Linked DNA regions of Saccharomyces cerevisiae S288C. The main gene of each other region encodes a partner of the protein of the gene in region 2 in a complex. Each region holds a gene or a part of one and is shown on either strand. Other genes may lie near its edges.

Evidence for each region.
Region 1: SAS2 (region 2) and SAS5 share a complex: the UniProt entries of both Saccharomyces cerevisiae proteins name them as parts of the SAS complex.

Annotation. Positions count from the first base shown.
Region 1 is NC_001147.6:743,702-747,281, forward strand, and holds SAS5 (Sas5p), read right to left. Parts: upstream 1,581-3,580; coding exon 834-1,580; downstream 1-833. Other genes in the region: STE4 (G protein subunit beta), read left to right, coding at 1-480; SPR2 (Spr2p), read right to left, coding at 1,892-2,602; AIM41 (Aim41p), read right to left, coding at 3,024-3,580. UniProt on the Saccharomyces cerevisiae protein: Component of the SAS complex, a multiprotein complex that acetylates 'Lys-16' of histone H4 and 'Lys-14' of histone H3. The SAS complex is however unable to acetylate nucleosomal histones.
Region 2 is NC_001145.3:521,716-525,307, forward strand, and holds SAS2 (histone acetyltransferase), read right to left. Parts: upstream 1,631-3,592; coding exon 614-1,630; downstream 1-613. Other genes in the region: DLT1 (Dlt1p), read right to left, coding at 1-74; ATP-dependent RNA helicase ECM16, read left to right, coding at 1,981-3,592. UniProt on the Saccharomyces cerevisiae protein: Histone acetyltransferase (HAT) subunit of the SAS complex, a multiprotein complex that acetylates 'Lys-16' of histone H4 and 'Lys-14' of histone H3. The SAS complex is however unable to acetylate nucleosomal histones.

The DNA.
Region 1 (3,580 bases), on a different chromosome or scaffold from region 2:
AGCTTTTACGTTAACGATAGTGATATTAATGCACTTCGTTTTTTCAAAGACGGGATGTCGATTGTTGCAGGAAGTGACAATGGTGCGATAAATATGTATGATTTAAGGTCGGACTGTTCTATTGCTACTTTTTCTCTTTTTCGAGGTTATGAAGAACGTACCCCTACCCCTACTTATATGGCAGCTAACATGGAGTACAATACCGCGCAATCGCCACAAACTTTAAAATCAACAAGCTCAAGCTATCTAGACAACCAAGGCGTTGTTTCTTTAGATTTTAGTGCATCTGGAAGATTGATGTACTCATGCTATACAGACATTGGTTGTGTTGTGTGGGATGTATTAAAAGGAGAGATTGTTGGAAAATTAGAAGGTCATGGTGGCAGAGTCACTGGTGTGCGCTCGAGTCCAGATGGGTTAGCTGTATGTACAGGTTCATGGGACTCAACCATGAAAATATGGTCTCCAGGTTATCAATAGCTTCGAATTGGAAATACTGTGAGCAGTAATTATCAATGGATGCTATTATATAAATATACATACCTACACCCATCCCATATTTACATAGAATAACAACAGTAACATTAGTTCTGTGGAAGCGCAAAAACGTCCTTTAATAAAGTAAGTCAAAACATTCAACAATGAAAATTCAAAGCATTGTCATTTGCTTCCTTTTTCTCTTTGGATAAACGAAACAAAAACGAACAAAAGTGTCATGCACTCAAAAATTCTTTTCAATCGTTTTGGAAACAGTATTATTCACTGACTTATTTGACCAACTTGCTAGAATCATCTATGTTTTCAGGCATTGTTTAATTTCATGATGGCTGTCCCTACTTTAGCTTGTTATGAGCCTTCACTGGCTCGTCCTTATGTATTGCGTCTGACCCAAAATTTGTCCTTTCTTGTTTAGTGGAATTTTTGTTCGGTAATTTCAAAAATGCCTGAATTTTCATTAACAAATCATCTGGTAGTTGTGTTATAAACATAAAAAACTGCTCCCTTCTGGGATGATTTTCAATTGCTCTCTGTACTGCAGGATCATTCAATATCATCTGAACCACGTCCGTCATCATATCCTCATCTATAAGCGCAAGGCTTTTAATCCAGGGCAAATCGGCTATACGAAGAGACATTTCTTCCTCCGGAGACACTACTTTCCACGGGAGATCAAAATATTTAGATAGTTCACTATTGAGATGTGAGAATTCATGAGGCACATCAACGGTATAGTCAACTGCATATGCATCATCTTCAAACGTTAAGTCATGTTCAATGCTAAACTTTCCAGCGTTACCTATAAAAAAGCATTCTATTTTTAAGTTAAACTCTCCCCAACCGGTTTCCTTGATAAAAAATGGCAGCGAGTTCAGTCGTCTTTTGGGCTGTTTGAAGCTAGAGTGCAAATGGTAGATGCATTTAGAGAGGATGGTAGGCTCCACTTCCTTTCCTGTTGCATCTAACATGAGGAGTTCCATCTGCCACCGACGTAAGGGAAGTTCATTTCCCCGGATGTTTTGTTCCGGTATTATAACCTGTTGTGTTTTTACTCTGAAAGTGACTTCTATTGAATGATCCATAAAAGAGCGTCTATTATATGGCACCAAAAAAAAAAAAAAGGGCTTTTGGAGTCAAGAGTAAAAACAATTTAGTCTGTAGAAAAACTTGAGTTGCTGCACTTCCTCTTCACCCGAACATGGCTGTTCTAGTTTGTTGTCGTGCAACTCTCTAATGGTGATGACTTATTGATGTGGCTTTGATTTTTTCTTGCCCGTGTAACGCGACCGCGCCAGCTGTAAACGTCACTAAATAATACCATTAATTGGTCATTTGCTTATATGTTATATAAATGCTTTCTCTATCAAAACTTTGATTATATGACTGCCGAACTTTAAGGGTGAAGTAACAAGTACAGACCAAATAGAAAAGATAAGATTCCCATCGACGGCATTAAGGAGGATGATGAATTTTCGTATCCCCCAATAGTTGTAATATTTCCCGGGGTGATTGTTGGGAAAATCTCAACGCTGGTAACACCCGTGGATAAAGCTAAACTTGTCGTACTAGATAAATAAGAAATGGTGCTCGTTAATGTTGCAGTACTTGTCGGCATTTCACTATTATTGATGATGCTCATATTAGTTACTAAAATATCTTCATACGCGTAAATTTTCGGTTTCGGAATCTCTTCAAATACCTCGTCTGCCCCGACTTTCTTCTGTATGCTGTCTTCCATAATTTCATGTAGAATACTTTCAATTTGAGAAAACTTTTTGTGCTCCACTATTGTTAGAGGATCTTCCAACAGAAAATCTATAACAGATTTGGAAGCAAGGACCGTATCGGTATGTTCTTGAGAATCAACAGCTCGCGGCTCCTCCGGTAAATCTGCTAATACTAAGTATGGATTAAACTCCATTTGATTTAGCAGAGCTGGTGGTAATGAGTTTTTATCCAAATGGAAAACTAAAGGACCAGGTTCATTTTGTCCTGTTTCATCTTCTTCATACTCATCTGATGTAAAAGTAATTGAGTATTTGGTAGCAAACACTTGTGCCATAAAAAAGGCGAAGAAAAGGGAGGATAGATATAATCCTAACATTTCAATAAGGATCAAAAAAGAGAATGGGATACAAAACTTTACTTTCCTTCCTTTCGTGCTAGTTACTGGCTTGGTGTTGTTCTTTAGTTATGTGTAGCAATGTTAGCTGCTGGTTTTTTGTCTTGGATAACTACAAATACTTTCAGGAAAAGAATAATTTATACATTATACAAAAGCGGCCTCTTTTATAAACAAAGGGCAAATGACAGTTAGCAAGACATATCATGGTTGCCATGGGACACAAAAACGTAGCCACAAAAAAAAAAAAAAAGGTGAAAGGAAGCGAGCATTAATTTTTTATTTTAATATGTAACTGTGATATGTATTAACAAAGTATCTTTCATAATTTTTGACGAATATTTTTACTTCTTTTTTACTATTGAAGGTTGGGCTGTGATTCATCGCGCAGAAAACAAGGACCTCATTTGAAAATTTCCTTGAATTGCTTAACAATGCTATTTTTGATGGCAGTTGGAGATGTCTTCCATTCTGTTGGCAATGACTTCCAGTCGATTTCTCCCATGATTTCCTTAATTTGAACTTTTTTTTCACCTGCCTTTGTTTTGAGGGCGTCCAGTAATTTCTTCACATTTTGATCAATATCAAGCTCTGAAGACACTGGCAATTGGTCCATATATTTCTTTATAATGTCCATTTCACCTTGCTCTTTGGCCACCAGATCGTCCCTCTTGTTAGCAAGGAACTCATTGATCGAGTCCTTTCTTTGAGATATTAACTTGGAGTACATGTCGTACAGGGAGTACTCATCAGCGCTCTTCCCTTTTAAAGCAATTTCTTTGTTTTTTATGGCAGATAACATATTTCTGATTGCTGTCTTCTTCATCTCATCCTTGGCAATCATAGCCTTTTTCAAATCTCCTTTCAATAGGCTGACTGCAGCCGTGTAGGCTGGAGAACTGTTATAACGAATGAAGGTTAGTCTATTTGAAACAAGTGGCCTAATTGATTGTCTGAACA
Region 2 (3,592 bases):
CCAATCAAAAGTATCAAAGAAACGAAAAGGGAAGCTTTGTATAACCACGACTTGAGTTTTGCGAATCCGGACATCTACTGCTAAGTATGGACACTCGTGTCTATAGATAGTATCAGGCCAAAGTTGTATAGCGGTATCTTTTTTTGAATAAATTTCAATGTGTTTTCCTCTGTTTAACCTCCCACTTTCTTTGATGCTCAAGAGCAATAACTTTATCGCAAAATAACAAAACTTTAATATGTGTTGTAATTTTGGCTAAACCCAGTTCAACATCACCACAAAAGAAGGTTTCCTTTATGCCCTTACCCTTTCTGCCTTCTTATTCTAGAATTTGTTTTGATGCTGTATTTGTTTGGTCCTTGTTCGTCATCGAAAAACCGGCCCAAAAACGGCTAATAAAAACGTGAACCTGTTTTAAGTCTTTTGCTATAAAAGATATTTATACTCTAAAAAAAGGGAAACTTTTGCAGCAAAACAAATTTTATGCATTAGTTCTCTGTTCTTAACTTGGTCAGACAAAATTCGTCCGTTTGTAGTTGTCTGTACAGGAATTCATCGAGCGATATTCTATCCTGAAATACATATGCCATTAAGTTACATCCTGAATAGATTCCTAGTCATCTATCAGCAAATATTCATCTTTTAATTTGAACCAATTCCGTTTTGTTCCATGTAGTTTCAACCAGCTATTCAATGACTGCAAGTAAATTTGGTTATTCTCCCCAATACAGTTCAAGTGCTTCAAGGTCAAAATAACATCATTGACTCTCATTCCAGTCACGATGGAAAGATCCTCCAGGGTCACTTTATCATAATGGGCGAGGTCACCTTCAATAAGGTGCCAACAGAGTATCTGTGACCAATATTTCAAGTACCCGATTAGTCCAAAAGGTGATAACGGTACTTCTGGCCCTGATATTACACCTTCTAATTGGGATAGTTTGTATGAAAACTCGATAAGTAAAAGGCCTAATCCACGTCGTTGATATGGGGGAAATATCAAGATGCACGCTAGATTATTTTGCTGATATGACACTAAATCTTTCGAAAAGAATCCCATCGGCTTTGTTGATCCAGTTTCATAAACTATGTAAAATTCATAATGATCTACTTTGAAATACATGGATTTATTGTCCAGATATAGCTTAGTGAAAAGACAAAGACATTGGCAAAAGAGTTGATACTTGGATCCTTTTACTCTTCTTATTGTATATTCAGGACTCTTGTATTTTATTTTGCCTGGAACACGATATTGAAATGGACAACTTGCAACATGTCCTACAAACCGCGTCTGATCATCCGTGTATTTGAAGCAGTATTCACAAACGAAAAGAGTGTCTAGCCAGTATTGGCTGTTAGAAACAGAGGAAAGCTGACCCTTGGTCTCGGAGCACCCTAGCCTTTTTGTTTCAGGATCGAAATAAACGGCGCTCCCATACCAAGTAGAGAATTTTTTATTCAGTCCAAACTGAATCTGTCTTATGTTCCTTTCGTTCAGTATTCCATATAGCATCTCTTTTTGAGTTTTTTTAATTTTTGCTGAGGGCTTATTCTTGCCTTTTCCACCATTCTTCTTTCCTTTTAGCTTCTGGGTAGTCGCTGTGAGTGATTGACTTAAAGATCTTGCCATTTTTTTTGCGAGTGAAAACAAAAAGCAACTAGAAAATAGGAGCCTCCAATATCAAAAAATCAAACTTCAATTTAACAGATTCTTAGAGCGCTACATACTCTATCCAGTTCGATATGGACAAGACTTAATGATTTCATCATCTCTTCTGATTAACGATTCTGTTATTCTTCATATTTACGCGCCTAACATATCATGATGATTGGGTGTTCCGAAAATTTTCATTGGCGATGAGCTGAGTATTGAAAGCTCATTATAGTATTAGTATATTATTGTTAATAGCAAGTGCTATATGCTATAAAAATGCAATTACAACCCAATACTAATAATAGAGTGTCTTAAGAAATATAAGTATGGGTACTTACAGAAAAAGGTTTAATGAAAAAGCCAGATCCGGCCATATGGCCAAATTAAAAGAACTGAAAAGAATTAGGAATAAGCAGTTCACTAGACAGGATGAAAACGATGAAAGAGTAGAAAACCCAGATTCAGCTCCCGCTGAGAGTTCTACTACGGAGCCAAATGCCAATGCGGAAATTCTTGAACCTCTCACTGAAGAAGAAAAGAAAATGAAGAAAAGAAAACTACAGGAGTTATTTACCCCAAAGGAATCGAAAGTTTCGAGATTGAAGAAGAAAAGACTGGATAAATTTATTGAACATCAATTAAAAAGAGAGGAAAGAAAGACAATTATTGGTAAACTTCAAGATTATAAGATAGATACAAGTTTGTTGACAAGCTCTAAAAGGTTAGGAGAGGGCAGGCAGACTAAAAAGGAAGAATTCAAAGAAGCACTGAGTTTAGAACGTCAAGGAAGAGGAAATGAACAAACAAATGAAATATTATACGAAGAATATGAACCAAAAGTTTGGGATGAGTATGGTGAAGGAGGGAGCTCTGAGGATGATGACGGCGAAGATGATTTCGAGGCTTCATTTGGTAGTATGCCGAAACCAACGGACAATGAGGAGAAGAAATCATCAGGTTTTATTGATCATAGACCAGCAAAATTTGGTGGATCTGGTCTTAGCTTTGGGTTTAGCAATATAAAAGTCATAAACAAAGAAAGCAAAACTCCGAAGAAGAAATATAATTGGAGACAACGAGTAGAAATGGAAGAATTGAAGAAGCATGGGAAAGAAGATGAAATGGATTTCGACACGACATCTGAAGATGATGACGAAGAGGAGGATCAGGAAGAAGAAGACAAAATGCATCCTAGTGAAAACCCACTCGAAGAAGTTGAAAGCGCAGATAGTGAAACTGGCTCAGAAAAATTTGACCAAAATGATGTTGCTAACGAATTCAAGGATTGGGCCAATCAAGAAATAAAAAAATTGGAAGGTAGAGATCAAGAGCTAGTTACTCCCACTTTGAACATCGATTATAAACCGATAATTAGAAAGGAAGATTTAGATGATGGTCTCCAAGAAGCTTATGTTCCAATAAACGAGAATTCCACCCGTAAAGCCTTCTATGTTGAAGTTAGCAGATCAGATGAAATTCAGAAAGCAAGAATTCAACTACCAGTATTTGGTGAAGAACACAAAATTATGGAGGCTATTCACCATAATGATGTAGTGATTATTTGTGGTGAAACGGGGTCAGGTAAGACTACACAAGTCCCACAATTTTTATATGAGGCTGGGTTTGGTGCCGAAGATTCTCCAGATTACCCAGGAATGGTGGGTATCACTCAACCAAGAAGAGTGGCCGCTGTGTCCATGGCTGAACGTGTAGCTAATGAATTGGGGGACCATGGTCATAAAGTAGGATACCAAATTAGGTTTGACTCTACCGCAAAGGAGGACACAAAGGTCAAGTTTATGACAGATGGTGTCTTGCTACGAGAAATGATGCACGATTTCAAGTTGACTAAATATTCCTCCATTATCATAGATGAAGCACATGAAAGAAACATTAACACTGATATTTTGATCGGTATGCTTAGCCGTTGTGTTCGGT